2 linked regions of the Canis lupus familiaris genome follow. The protein of the gene in region 2 interacts with the protein of the main gene of each other region in a biochemical or structural test. Links are inferred from orthologs where the notes say so. Each region holds a gene or a part of one and is shown on either strand. Other genes may lie near its edges.

What was found. The genes of interacting proteins can lie anywhere in the genome.
Region 1: the proteins of RNF181 (region 2) and ITGA2B form a complex in vitro, tested with the Homo sapiens proteins (2 studies listed by BioGRID). The link is inferred for Canis lupus familiaris from reciprocal best matches to the Homo sapiens genes RNF181 and ITGA2B.

The regions. Positions count from the first base shown.
Region 1 is NC_049230.1:18,922,976-18,930,371, forward strand, and holds the start of ITGA2B (integrin alpha-IIb), read left to right. Parts: upstream 1-2,516; 5' UTR 2,517-2,532; coding exon 2,533-2,720; intron 2,721-4,261; coding exon 4,262-4,383; intron 4,384-4,470; coding exon 4,471-4,568; intron 4,569-4,672; coding exon 4,673-4,838; intron 4,839-5,113; coding exon 5,114-5,163; intron 5,164-5,242; coding exon 5,243-5,288; intron 5,289-5,389; coding exon 5,390-5,518; intron 5,519-5,838; coding exon 5,839-5,886; intron 5,887-6,050; coding exon 6,051-6,094; intron 6,095-6,231; coding exon 6,232-6,285; intron 6,286-6,432; coding exon 6,433-6,485; intron 6,486-6,663; coding exon 6,664-6,875; intron 6,876-7,396. UniProt on the Homo sapiens protein: Integrin alpha-IIb/beta-3 is a receptor for fibronectin, fibrinogen, plasminogen, prothrombin, thrombospondin and vitronectin. It recognizes the sequence R-G-D in a wide array of ligands.
Region 2 is NC_049238.1:39,830,493-39,837,742, reverse strand, and holds RNF181 (E3 ubiquitin-protein ligase RNF181), read left to right. Parts: upstream 1-3,481; 5' UTR 3,482-3,552; coding exon 3,553-3,638; intron 3,639-4,433; coding exon 4,434-4,564; intron 4,565-4,740; coding exon 4,741-4,850; intron 4,851-5,031; coding exon 5,032-5,106; intron 5,107-5,364; coding exon 5,365-5,424; 3' UTR 5,425-6,196; downstream 6,197-7,250. Other genes in the region: VAMP5 (vesicle-associated membrane protein 5), read left to right, coding at 30-167, 629-838; TMEM150A (transmembrane protein 150A), read right to left, coding at 6,675-6,916, 7,180-7,250.

The sequences.
Region 1 (7,396 bases), on a different chromosome or scaffold from region 2:
CTATGGTCTTCTGCTCTCTTTGCTCATGTTATTTCCTGTGCCTGAAAACCTCTTCATTCTCAGACAGAAGGCAACATGGTAGAATGGTGAAGAACATGGATTCAAGTGTTTGAATCCTTGTTTGGCCACCCATTGGCTATGTAAGTTTAGGCAATTTACCTAAAACTATGTGCGATGGTTTCTGCATTTATAAAATGGGCATAATAGTACCTATTTCATAGGGTTGTCAAAAAGAACAAAGATAGGACTTCAGTTAGGCATAATGTCCACTCTTTTCAAGGCATTCTTCACTGTCCCTCTGCTGCAGTTACATGTGTTCATGTCCTAATTCTGAGCTAAGTTCTTTAAGGATCCCTGACCATTATCTTTGTATTTATCACTCAGTGCCTTGAGCAGAATAAATACCCTTTTTTAAAGATTTTACTTGGGATCCCTGGGTGGCGCAGCGGTTTGGTGCCTGCCTTTGGCCCAGGGCACGATCCTGGAGATCCGGGATCGAATCCCACATTGGGCTCCCGGTGCATGGAGCCTGCTTCTCCCTCTGCCTGTGTCTCTGTGCCTCTCTCTCTCTGTGACTATCATAAATAAATAAAAATAAAATAAAGATTTTACTTATTTAAGGGTGCATGGGTGGCTCAGTTGGTTAAGTGTCTGCCTTCAGCTCATGTCATGGTCTCGGGATCGAGCCCCACATCAGGCTCCCTGCTCAGTGGGGAGCCTGCTTCTCTCTCTGCTCCGCACTCGTGCTCTCTTTTGCTATCTCTCTCTCTCTCTCTCTCTATCTCTCAAATAAAATCTTTAAAAAAAAAAGATTTTTTTATTTGACAGCAAGCACACAAACAAGCGGAGCAGAGCAGCAGGCAGAGGAAGAGGGAGAAGCAGTCTCCCTGCTGAGCAGGGAGCCAAATGCAGCTGATCCTGGGATCATAACCTAAGCTTAAGGCAGACGTTTAACCGACTGAGCCACCAAGGCCCCCCAGAATAAATACCTATTAAAGACCTCAGTGGGATGTGACAATATTGGGCTATACAGTATACAGCAGTAATACCACTTGGTTGAAGACAAGGAGAGAGTGGAAGGTAAGTATAGGACAGAATTAAGTATTCATTCTAGCAAATCATTGCATGCCCACCACAAGCTTAGCACTGGGAATTCAGCAGTGAAGAAAGTCCAGACTAAAGTTCAAGGAGCTTCTAATCTAATAAAGGATAGGATTTTGAGCTGTGTGCTGAATTATGAGAACAGAGGAGCTGAAAGGAAACCTGAATGGCACAGGATAGCTGGGCAGGATGCGATGATGGTTAAGTTTGGTTAGAAAATATAGAGCAGAAGGAGGATGTGGCAGTCTTCCTTTACTTGGAGCAGATCTCTTGAATTTCCTTACTGTGAAACTGCTTTTTGGAGGAAGACCTGCAGTGCCAATAAGACTTGTCACTCCTCTTCCTGTCCTCTAGAGAAAATTACCTTGCCTTTCTGCGCAAAACTACTTCTCTTTCCACTGTGTGACTTCATGTTTCCGTGCTCCCATTCAGTCTATCAGCAATACCTACTAAGTGTTGGGCTCTTGGCTAGGTCCTGGGGACACAGAAAGGAACCTTGCTCTCAAGGGAGTCGTGGACACAATCATGTCCATGAATGGACCATTACAAAACAGCATGATCGGTGCTGTGCCCATGTGTGTCAACCCCAGAATACCAGCCTGAGGACTTGAAGGAGGCTTCCCCTAGGCAGTGACCCCACTAGAATTAAGTCTTAATTGGACAAGAGCTCTGTCACCTAAGACTGAGGGTCTGCCTTCAACCAGAGAAGCTGGTGTATAGTCCCAGAACCTGTGAGCCTGAAGACTCAACTCTATCCTCATCTCCTTTCCCCTTCGCCACCCCTTCACCAGCACCAGCGGCACTGCTGTGACCACACTAAGACTTGGCCTGAGATGGAGGGAGAGTGGAGAAACCTGCTACACCAATATGGCTGACCAAGGCCCTGGAAGGAGGAAGTGGGTAAGTGCGTTATCCAAAAGGATATAGCAGCTTCAGGTCTTATCAGGGGACAGCACCCCTTCCTCCACCTCTGACCAAGTCAGAGTGGGCCACAGCAATGCAGACCACTGTGAGATGGAGAGCAAGAGCTGTAAAACAACTAGAGTGGACATGTACACACCATTATAGTTCATGGTTATCCTATCCCAAGCAGAAAGGAATGGTGGCTTAGACTAGCCTGGTGTTAGTGGAAATGTGAAGATTCAAGAGACATAGTTGAAAGGCAGAATCAACAGGACTTGGAGATAAACTACTCTCAGGAAAAGGGAGGAGTCATGGCTTTCAGCCATCAGCATCCACCCCCCAGGGTGCCCTCACCCTCTTCCTGGCAATCCAAGAAACCATATGGTTCCAGGGCCTGTAGCCCTTTCCTCTGCCTACTGCTCAGCAAGTGAGTTCCAGTCTGATAAGAAAAGCCTTCCTGTGGTGGAGACTGAAAGGAAGAGGAGGCAGCTAGCCCATTCCTGCCCAGGAGATTGTGGGAGAAGGAAGATGGCCAGAGCTGTATGTCCACTTAATGCCCTCTGGCTTCTGGAGTGGGTGCAGCTGTTCTTGGGACCTGGTGCCATCCCTCTAGGCTGGGCCTTGAACTTGGACCCAGTGCAACTCACCTTCTACACAGGCCCCAATGGCAGCCACTTTGGGTTTTCACTGGACTTCTACAAGGACAACCATGGGAGGTAAGGCTGGGGTGAAGTTTGGGTGTTGGGGAGAGAGTTACTATCACTACTTCTGTGAACCCATTTGTGATAGAGGTTGAGCAAAGTGACTTCTAGGCTCTATTCAGACAGTTCTTTTTAGGAATACTGGCAGGAACTAGCTCAAGTAAAGGTGTCAGGGAGGGGCACACATGGAAAGGTGAGCACCAAAACTACAGGAAAAACAAAGGGAAGATAAAAGTTGATGCCTTCTTTTTTCCTTCAAGGGTCAGTTGTATGACCTATTCCATCTTTGTTATCTCAAAATACAGAGAGGAGCATGTGTCTTAAATTTACTTGCAAAACTATCTACCTGCCCCCACCTTGCTGTTCTATTCCATGTCCCTCTTCCCCATCAAAATTACAGATATTTGAAAAGAAACAATAGAGCATTAATGGTTGGGATTAGTCAGCTGCGAAATCAGACTTCCAAGATTAGAATCCTGGTTCCTTCTCTTTATTGTAACTACCCTGCACTACTTATTATGGTAGATGCTGTGATGCCCACCTCTGGGGAGTGGGAATGGCAGACAGCCTTCAACTATCTGACTCTTAGGGAATTTCCTTTGCTGAAGAGAGTCACCTCCCCCAAAGTCAAGTCCCTTTTCCAATGGAACCTACAATCAATGACTGATCAATGAGGAGTGTGGAGGGAGGTGTAAGGGTCTGATGTTCTCACCTCAACTTGGGACTGTTCTGAAGGGTCCTTTTTTTCTGGAGCTCTAGCTCCAGAGCTCCCAGGATGTTGCCTCATGGCTGTCAATGGGTCTGGATCTGCATTTGACCTCTTTCTCTGCCCACTCCTGCTTCTCTCCCTTTCTAAATACTGGCCTCATAGGCATTACTTAAACATCCTGCAAGCTAAAAGAAAATTATAGCATTTTTTTTTTAGTACTTGTTAAGCATTACTTGGCTGGCACCACGCAAAAATGTCCCTCATACCTTGATTTCATTTACTTCTGACATTGGTTGGTATTGTTCCCAATTTATATATGGTAGAGCTATGATTTGAACCTAGATCTACTAAAGTCTTTGGTGTTATCAGTATCCCACTTTAGAGGTGGCCAGTAGTTTCCCTAATCCTTCACCATTAAAACTAGCTCTTAGGAAAGCATCTGGTAACAGTATTCAGTTCTAGGAAGCATGTAAACCCCTGACTTTTGGTGTGGGGCACAGAAGTGAAGGATATGGAATTGGAGGGTGTGCAGAGCTTAGGAGGTCTTTTTCAGCAAGGATACAAACTCTTCATATTCAAATCAAACCAAAAGGTTATATAATACCAGCTTTACCGTTAACTGGCTAGATTACTTTAGGCACGTGGTTTCCCCACTGGGAGACGGTTTCATTGACAGTAAAATGAAAAGATTGGCCTCCATGGTCTGTGATGTCTCCTTGAGGGAAGACGATCCAGTGCCTTCCCAGGCACACAGCCCTTCCGGGTAGTGCTCTCAACACAGGCACCAGGGCAGGTGCTACCTCGGCATCTGCTCTGCGCCGCACTCACCCAGCTTTCCTACGCGCAGAGTGGCCTTCGTGGTAGGCGCCCCGCGGACCCTGGGCCGCAGCCAGGAGGAGACGGGCGGCGTATTCCTGTGCCCCTGGAGGGCCGAGGGTGGCCAGTGCACGTCGCTGCCCTTTGACCTCAGTGAGTCCTGCGCAAGGAGGGCAAAGGAGGGGCCACCCGGAGCTTGGGCAGCCTGGCTTCAGCGCCCACCCTTCTTATGCTCTCCAGATGACGAGACCCGACACATAGGCTCCCACACCTTCCAAACCTTCAAGTCTCGGCAAGGACTGGGGGCGTCGGTCGTCAGCTGGAACGACAACATTGTGGTGGGCGCCACGGAACGGGGAGCAAAGAGCAGTCGGGGGCAGGGACACGTGGGCGGGGATCCCGAGTCCCGCCGATTCCCCACTCTCCTTTGGCCCTGCTCCAGGCCTGCGCCCCCTGGCAGCACTGGAACGTCCTAGAAAAGACCGAGGAGGCCGAGAAGACGCCCGTAGGTGGCTGCTTTGTGGCTCAGCTCCGGAACGGCCACCGCGCGGAGTACTCGCCGTGTCGGGCTAACACCATGAGCTCGGTTTATGTGAAAAATCGGTTTAGTGAGTTCGGCTCCCTGTTTTGTTTCCGCCCGCTCAGGGCCACTTAGCTCCGCCCTCAGCACCTCCCCAGGAGCCGCCCAGTCCCCGGCTTTCGGTCCCGCATTTCCCCTTGGCCCAGCTCCTAGTCCCATCCCGCCTCGCTCAGCTTGGGGGCCTCGCCTGTAGGTTACCCCGTGGCCCCGCCCCGGCCCCCGCCCCGGCCCCGCCCCGGCCCCGCCCCGCCCCGCCTCTGCCCCGCCCCGCCCCTTCGCTGACCCCTCCCCTCCCTCCTCTAGACCAAGACAAGCGCTATTGCGAAGCGGGCTTCAGCGCTGCGGTCACTCAGGCGAGTGGGGAGCACTAGCGGCGTGGGGGGGGGGGCTTCCAAACACGGCCCCCCCTCACTTCCAGGGCTTCCCTTTCAGGCTGGAGTGCTGGTGCTTGGGGCCCCCGGCGGCTATTTTTTCTTAGGTACGTGCCCATCTGTACACTTCACACCCTTCTCTCGGCCTGGGGAGACGGGGAGACCGCAGGCGTCTGGGCCCCCACACCCGCTGTCCCTCGCGCCGTAGGTCTCCTGGTGCGGACGCCTATTGACAATATCATCTCGAGTTACCGCCCGGGCACCCTGTTGTGGCACGTGTCCTCCCAGAGCTTCACCTACGACTACAGCAAGCCAGAGTACTACGACGGCTACCGGGGTAACACTGGCACCCCCCTCCTAGGCCTCCCAGCCCTCTGAGAATCGCCGCCCACCCCGCGGGTCAGGTCCTGAGGTGCCTCCACCCTCTGGTCCCTCGGCATCCCCGCCACCGCCAACTCCCATTTGCCCCACCTTGCCTTTCCCACCCCGGATTAGCTGCGCAGCCCCGGGCTGACCTTGGCTTCTCGATGGCCTGTTTTCCCATCTACACAATGCAGGGTTTGGACTGGGTGGTCTCTGGGTCCCCCCTTCTTCCTTGCCCATGGCCTTCCCGCTGCTTCGCCCTCCCAGAAAGATTAATTCGTGCTGTCTCTTCAGGGTACTCTGTGGCTGTGGGCGAGTTCGACGGGAATCTCAACACTACAGGCAAGAAATCCATTTCGGGGACAAAGGATAGGGAGCCCCGCCCGGGGAGGAGCGCCTCCAAGCCCCGCACCGCACCAAAGTCTCCCCCGGGTTACAGAATCGCGGGCGGGAGGGTCGGTGGTAGGGTCGAAGGACCTCATTCACTGGGGTCTGGCTCTCCCCAGAGTATGTCCTCGGTGCCCCGACCTGGAGCTGTACCCTAGGAGCGGTGAGTGCCCCCTGTCCCGCCACTCGGCATCCCAAGCCTTCGACCCCACTCCTCAGCTTCAGGAGCCCCTTTCTCACTCGGAACGGGAGGCTGTCCTGGGGAGCAGGAATGACGCGCTCCTGTGCTTGTCCGTGCAGGTGGAAATTTTGAACGAGTACCACCAGACGCTGCACAGGCTGCACGGAGAGCAGGTGGAGGCCGGTTCCGGTGGGGGTGGCCGACGCTGGGGAATTGGAGCCCTAGAATGTTCCACGGGGTTTGGGGGGGGGGGCAATGTGCAAGAGAGGGTGCCTGTCTGGGCGGGGGACGGGGATTCAGTAAGCTTCGTCTTCCTGCAGATGGCTTCGTATTTTGGACACTCGATAGCCGTCACTGATGTCAACGGAGACGGGTGAGGCTCCTACCCGTTTGGGTCCCCCATCACCAGAGGAGTTGCCTGCTCTGGGTCGCCTCCTTTCCTCCCCCACTCCCACGTAACCACCGAGGGGAGCGGGAGGGCGAGAATGGAGCCGGCGAGTTTGGGCTAATCTCCCTAACCCACCCCGTGGCACCGCCCATCCGGCCTGCAGGCGGCACGACTTGCTGGTGGGCGCGCCACTGTTCATGGAGAGCCGCGCGGACCGCAAGCTGGCCGAGGTGGGGCGCGTGTACTTGTTCCTGCAGCCTCGAGGTCACCAGGCGCTGGGCGCCCCCAGCCTCCTGCTGACTGGCACACAGCTCTATGGGCGATTCGGCTCGGCCATCGCATCTCTGGGCGACCTCGACCGGGACGGCTACAACGGTAAGGGGCAGAGAGGAGCACCGCTTGCTTCAGACTGGTTAACAGCCAGAACCAAGACCGCCGATTTGACCAGAGGGCAGCCAGAGCGGGGAAGGGCTTTTCTCTGGAAGAGTTGAATGGGACCAGTTTGTTTGCATTGGTCCAGGCAAGAGATGGTGACCACCTGGATGTGAATGTGGTCAGTGGAGTTAGAGATGGGGTGATGTCACAGATATTTAGTAGCTGGACTATTAGGACTTGATGGGTGAGTGGGTGGATGTGGAGTTAGAGAGAGGAGTTGGAAGGGATAGTGTTGATGCCTTCACGGCCTGGAGCTCAGTCTGGGTGGGGGTGGGGATGGCGGGCGGTGGGGATCAGCAGTTCAGCTCTGGGCCTGTTTGACCTTGAGGGGCTGGGGAGCATCAAACCCACGGCCAGAGAAGGCGTGTGCCTTCCCCATTCGCACCAGATAGGCGCTTGGAAAGGGTAGATGAGATCGCTGCACCTGTGAAATGAGAAGAGGCAAAGGATAAAACCCTGGG
Region 2 (7,250 bases):
GCAGTTCTGACCTTGGGCTTGGTGCCCAGGCAGGGAAAGAGTTGGAACGATGCCAGCGGCAGGCGGATGAGGTGACAGAAATCATGCTCAACAACTTCGACAAGGTCCTGGAGCGCGATGGGAAACTGGCCGAGCTGGAGCTGCGTTCAGACCAACTGCTGGACATGGTGTGAGGCATGGGGGAGCAGGGACGGGGGAGGGAGGCCAGGAGGAGTCCTCAGGTTGTGCTCAGGGTCTCCAGGCTCTGGGGGGCCTGAGGCTTGCCTGAGCGCCCGGGGGGCCTGTGGGTTTGTGGAGGTGCCTATAGCCTCAATAAGCTCCAGGTAGGCCTCATGAAATAACAAGTCCTTGGTTTGAAGCTGTGGACCCTCCTACAGGTTGAGGGCTGTTATTGTTACTGGGTGTGAGCCTTGGAGGAGTGCGAGTCAAGGGCTCCATCAGTGTCAGACCAGCAGTCAGGTTGGGAGGGTCCCAGGGGAGGCTCTGTGGAGAAGGGGAGCAGACAGGTTGGGAAGATGCAGGAGGAGGTTAGGTCTTGTGAGGGGCGTGAGGGGGTGGTTGGGAGAACCTGGCCCTGGGGCTTGGGGGGAACCACTAACTCCCAACCTGTGTCTGGGGATGTCCACAGAGCTCAGCCTTCAGCAAGACAACCAAAAACCTGGCCCAGAAGAAGCGCTGGGAGAATGTCCGTTGCCGGATCTACTTGGGGCTGGTGGTGGGCATTGGCCTGCTCATCATCCTGATTGTGCTACTGGTCATCTTTCTCCCGTGGAGCAGTGGGGACAGCAGTGCTCCACATGCCCAGGACGCCGGCGCTGCCTCAGGGCCTGGGGGCTGACCCAGCTGGGCCTTGAGGATAGGCCGAGGGGCCGCACTGGCTGGTTCTGGTCTCCAGAGAACCCTGGCGTTTGCTCCCATCTGAGCCACCCAACTGAGCACTGAAGAGCAACTCTGATGTGTGCACCTTTGCATCTCCTATCACGCCACAGACTGGCCCTTGAGGGCAGCCTGCTGCACTAGCTGTGCCAGGCCAGCCCTACCTGGAGCTCAGTAAAAGCTGCTGTTTGGTTAAAAGCTGGTGTTTGTATGTATGTGTGAAGTCCTCCAAGTTGGTTCATCCTTCTTGGCCTCCACTCCTGGGGTTGTTTAGAAAGTTGGTAGAAGGACTTCACCCTTGGGAGGTGGCCCCTATATTCTTCCTTCCTTGTATGTGATCCAATCCTACCTGGACAGAAACTTCTGGGGTGCAGGTGCAAAGAGAGAGTGGCTCCCAAACCAGAACCTTCAACTAGTGCCCTCTGAGCCTGTTTACGTCAGAATGAAATATATTCTTTTTCTGATGTCTTTTTTTTTTAATTAAGGTTTTATTTATTTATTCATGAGAAACCCAGAAAGAGAGGCAGAGACACAGGCAGGGGGAGGAGAAGCAGGCTCCATGCAGGGAGCCCAATGTGGGACTTGATCCTGGAACCCCGGGATCACGCCCTGAGCCAAAGGCAGATACTCAACCACTGAGCCACCCAGGCGCCCCTTTTTCTGATGTCTTGAAGATGCTCAGAATTGGACTCCAGAAGAAGGCACCTCAAAGATTTTTATCTCACGAGGCTTTCACTTTTGGATAGATTTTTTTTCCTCTCTGGACACCCTGTCCTCCTCAATTTTTCTCCTGGGCGTTCTTCCTCAAGCTTTACACCTGATTACAGATGAGGCAGATCGCAGTGAAAATGGGGAGATCCCTGGGTGCTCAGCGGTTTAGCGCTGCCTTCAGCCCAGGATGTGATCCTGGAGACCTGGGATCGAGTCCCACGTTGGGCTCCCTGCATGGAGCCTGCTTCTCCCTTTGCCTGTGTCTCCACCTCTCTCTCTCTCTCTCTCAATCAATAAATAAAACCTTAAAGAAAATGGGAAGGGCTTTTCTGGTGCTGTAATGGACAGTCACAAAGGATGGCCTAGACTTTGTCCTGTAGGAAAGAATTCAGCCTCTTCAAAGCTCCAAGGCCATACAGGGCCAAGCTGGCAGGGCCTTAGGGTCACAGGAAAGATGATTGGGTAAAGGCTATGGAAGAAGGAAAGAAAGCCCTACTAGGGTCACGGAAGCTGGGCAGTCTCTGCCTGGGCTACTTGACTGCATCGCAAACTCAAGTGTGGAAGAGGAATTCAGGGTCAAGGTCAAGTGTGTAACAGAAGCAGTTCCTTGTTAGGTGAAGTGAGGGCTACTGACAGAGAAACAAGAACAAACCTGAGAGTTGTGTGGAGATTTACCCCTCACAGAGCTTGTTGCTTCCACTGGGCTCATTACCATCTTTTTCTGGGAAAGCTGGAGAAAACTGCTTGGCTGTGTAGTTGGTCGGTAACACCACTTAGAGGCCGTGTGGATTTGGGCAAGTCACTTGAGACTTGGGGTTTACATACGAAAAAAGGGATATTTAACTCCCAGAACAATTGTGAGGATTATTTGTATTGTGTGTAACATATCCATCAGTGTAATGGTTCTAGATGCCAAATAAAAAGTAGCTGTCATCCATTTCATCTAGTGCAGTTCTCAAGCCTGCCTCACATCAGAATCACCTGTAGAACTTCTAAAACTATCACCCCCAGGCCTAGATTACTTAGTATCAGAGCTAAGATTTAAATCCAAGTGTGCAGGATGCCTGGACACACACATTAGCCGCTGGCCTACACAGCTTTCCTATAGGGCCTGGATCAGTTCTATCAGAATCTTTGAGGGAAGTATCTGACGCAGGGTTATTTCCCCCTAAAGCTGCAACCCCTGGTTCCATCTCCAGGATAGCCATGGGTAGCCAGGGATGCAAACTCCTTGAAATCAAGCCACTAATTTTACAGAAGCTAGCCGAGAGGCTGAGCAGTGGGCTGAAGGTCACACACATAGTTCTGTGAGCGGGTAAGGCCCTAGATTCCCTGGCAAGGATCTTCCCTCTCTCGTTGGGGGACTTTTACCCCACCCTTGATTGTGTCTAACAAAAAATAATCAGGACATTTTTGTTTTGCGGGTTGAGAGGGTAATCAAGGGCCAACCCCTGAACTACCCAGAGTGCAGCAGGTGCAGAAGCACTGGGCGGGGACCGGGCAGAGCAGCGGGGAACGTCGTCCTTCCAGGTTCGCAGGACCCTGACCCCCTGCGCCACGCCTCGCTCTCTGGAGGGCCTCTAGCACCTGCACGTCCTAGGCCCTCTGAGCCGCAGAGCGAACCCAAGGCCCTACAGCCCCGACACTTGGCTATTCAGGGCGCCGAGCACCCGACCCACACGTCATTCGCAGATACCCTCCCCCAGGGTCGGAGCCCCAAACAGCTGTTTTTCCCGACCGGCCCAAGCCCCTGCCATTGGCTGTAGCCTTTGGTCACCTGACTTGTTCGAGCCAACGAGAGGCAGCAGAATTAATACTTCCGCTTTCATGCGCCTAACGAGCCTCTGAGCCCGCCTTTCGGATGCTCTGATTGGTCTTCCTCGCTCAGGCCCGCAACTTATTGGCCAGCGCCGTGGGGCCACAGTCCAGCGGCCTCCGAGGGCTGTGTCAGACAGCCCCGCCGCCATGGCGTCCTATTTCGATGAGCACGACTGCGAGCCGCTGGATTCCGAGCAGGAGGCCCGAACCAGTATGTTGCTGGAGCTCGCAAGGTGGGTGCACGGAGCTGGGGGGTGGGGGCTCGGGTAGCAGGTATCTGGGCTGGGGCTGGCTGGACAAGGCGGATTATAGACGGCAGAGAGTCTGGGGAGGACGGATGAATCTTATGATGGAGAGTTAGTCCAGAGACGAGATTCGAGGAAGATCGATAATTTGGACCATCCGTGGGCGGGCCGGGGATGGTAGGAAAGATGGGAGCTGGCGAATAGGGGAGAGTGGGGGGCGGCAGGGCAGTCGGTTCTAGCAGGGGAGGGGCCGTGTGGGCGTGAGTAGGTACATTCGTTAGGAACAACAAGCACGGAAACCACCATTGCCACTTGGAATCTGGCTTTACCAGGTCATGTCTACATGGCCTGAGTAATTTCTCTGAGCCTGTTGCCTCATGTGTAAAATGGGACTAGGACAGCCCCGGTGGCTCAGCGGTTTAGCGCCGCCTTCGGTCCAGGGCGTGATCTTGAAGACTCGGGATCGAGTCCGACGTTGGGCTCCCTGCATGGAGCCTGCTTCTCCCTCCTCCTGTGTCTCTGCCTCTCTCTGTCTCTCTCCTGAATAAATAAATACAATCTTTAAAAAATAATAAAATGGGACAAAATAGCTTGCATGCTTGGGGTTGTCTTATAGCAACTGTAAACCATTTTCCATTGTGCTTTTTTATCTAGTGAACACTTTTGGGGGCTAGCTGTTGGTACTGGCTCGACAGAATATTTATCTGTTAATGCCTACTGGATTGTGGGGGCAAAAAGAAAGTACGGTTTTCTTCGGTTCTGATCATGCATCGTTCCTCCCAGGTCACTTTTCAATAGGATGGACTTTGAAGACTTGGGGTTGGTAGTAGATTGGGATCATCATCTGCCTCCACCTGCTGCCAAGGCTGTGGTTGAGAACCTTCCCAGGACAGTCATCAGGAGCTCTCAGGCTGGTGAGAACACAAATTCTTACTATTTGGGGCAGGTTTGCCAGACGCACCTGCTCCCAAGCTAGACTGGTCTAGCCCTTCAGTTTTCCAGGTCAGGTTGGGGCAAGAATGTCTTTCAGGAGTGGGAGCCGGGAGGCAGGGCCTGTAGCAGCTCTCCTGATCAGCACTCCTTCCTCAAGAGCTCAAGTGCCCCGTGTGTCTTTTGGAATTTGAGGAGGAGGAGACTGCCATTGAGATGCCTTGCCGTCACCTCTTCCATTCCAACTGCATTCTACCCTGGCTAAGCAAGGTACCGCTTCCTTTCTCTCAGCCCTTACCCTGCCCTGGGCCCAATTCTCAAGCCTCTTTCTGTTTATGGACTGTTAGGGGATCAGAGAAGGGAGAGGGTACGGGTGGGAACTGGGAGCAAGGGGCAGATGTTAGCTTATAAAGACCAGACCTGGGCTGGAACACTGCCCTCCTTTTCTCAGACAAATTCCTGCCCCCTGTGCCGCCATGAGCTGCCCACTGATGATGACGCTTATGAGGAGCACAGACGAGATAAGGTAAGGGCTGGTGGTAAGTGAAGAGGGTGGTAATGTGGACCCCTTAGTCGCTGTCCTCAGTGTTCTCATTCCCTACCTTAGCAGGCTTGGTTAGGCCTCAGAGTCACTGACTCTGGTCGTCTTCCTGGTGACTTTGGTGAGGGACAAGAGCCTTGGCGATGCACATGCTTGGGGCCTGAAAACAGTGATAGCTGTCCCATCGCTCCCCCCACAGGGCTTCAGGTATGACCCATGCCCAGTGTTTCCTCTTTCCTTCAGGCTCGCAAGCAGCAGCAAAAGCACCGGCTTGAGAACCTCCACGGAGCCATGTACACATGAGGTGCCTGGGGTTGAGCACTCGTCCTCCACAATATCTTCCTCCTGCACCTTGAATCCTCATTAAAGATTTCTTTACCCACCCTGCACTGCATTGCTCACAGGCCTGGGCAGGGGTTCTGTATCCTCCATGAGGTCCCTACTGTGGTTGGGGGAACCACAGAAAGTACCGGGCTACATGTCCCTTCCTGCCAAGCCTACTGGCCTGAGAGCAGTGGAACCCAGGTCAAGAACCTGGCCACTGGAGCAGCCAGTGACTGGGCCTAGGTGTTCATCGTTGGAAAGCAAAATGTGTCAGGGTCTGGCATCCAATAGCTACTTACGGATGGTAAACAAAATCTAGCCTCTGTCTCTCTCCCCTGCAATTTTTAGTCAACCTTGGAATCCCACGGGCTTTTTTTCATTGTGAAAACCGTTTCTAGCATTTCAAAGTTGCTCTCTGGATGACCTCCTTCCCCCGCCCCCATATCCCTTACTAGAGAAGCAAACTTCACATGGAATTGGGGAAGGATCAGGTCAGTTCTTTAGACTGTTTTAACGCCTAGAAAGGGTTTCAAGCTCTTGAAGGATATTTGGATAGCACCAGGCATCCTTTATTCTTGGCAGCCCTGCTTTCAAAGAGCAGTGGGCACTCTCCCTGAGGGCAGGGGATTCCTCCCACCCTTTGCCTAGGGAAAGCTGACCTGGGTCAGGCCCTCTCCTGATTGTTTAGAACAGACTACAAACATGCAAATTAGAATTCTTTTAATAGATTAAAAAAAAAAGTATTAAAATACCCACGTGGTTCTGCTATGTTATTTGCCTGAAAGTAAGGGGCCGAGTGAAGAATCCCAGTGCAGCTCAGTGGGCCCAAAAGTGGGCCTTCCCACAGACTAAGGAGTGCTCCCCCTTCTATTCCCTGACTTCTATCCCTCTTGCTGTTTCCAGCCCCCAATTCCTGCAGCGGGAAACCCCAGTGGTGTTGCCTCGGCACTGGGGAGTAGAAGGCACCTGAAGGGCTGGCTGGGTGAGTGAGGATATGTGACCTTTAAACATAAAACACTGCAGAGTCAAGCAGTAGGTTGCGTGTGGCCCAGGCAGCAGCCAGGCCTGCTCTTCTATAGCACAGGTGGGTATGGGATGGCCGTTCCTCCAGCAGCAAGGAAACCCATATCCCAACAAAATACTTTCTCAAAATTGTTTTTGGTACAAAATAAATGCAAAGTTATGAGGTGGGGAGCTGCTGAGGCTGGGCCAGCCACCCTCCCCAGGCCTCAGATCATGGCGATGCTTTCCGGAGCACAGTTGAGGTGAGTGGAAGTGCTACTGCTTCCGGAGGACTTGCAGGCCCGGCCAGAGGCAGGCTGCAGGGCAGCCACCAGTGTCTCTGAGGAAACTGCCCCAAACTCATAGCTGAAGGTGCCGTAGAAAATGAGGATGTCGATCACAAACACCCACTCGCACAGGGCTGCCCCGTGCTGCAGCTGAGAGCTCTCATGCATAAAGAAGACACCACCTGGAATGGGGCTAAGGAAGTGTTCAGTAGGACACGTGGGATGTGGTGACACTCCTACCTTCCCAGATAGATAACTAAGCTGGGCCAAAGAGCCTGGTCTCCCACCTGGGAGGGGAAGAAGGAAAACACCCTGGGCAGTATTTTCTGGATATACGTGTGCCAAGCTCTCCCCCACTCCCCACCACCTACCCCCCCCAGCATCTTGGGTGGGGAAAGGCTGGGCTTGAAGATGCTCTCCTGGCTGCCCTGTCCTGGAAGGATACTGAGGATTAGGGTGACAAAGGCGATGGCTGCCAGCACAATCCGCAGGTAGGCCATAGCCAGGTCCTGGGGG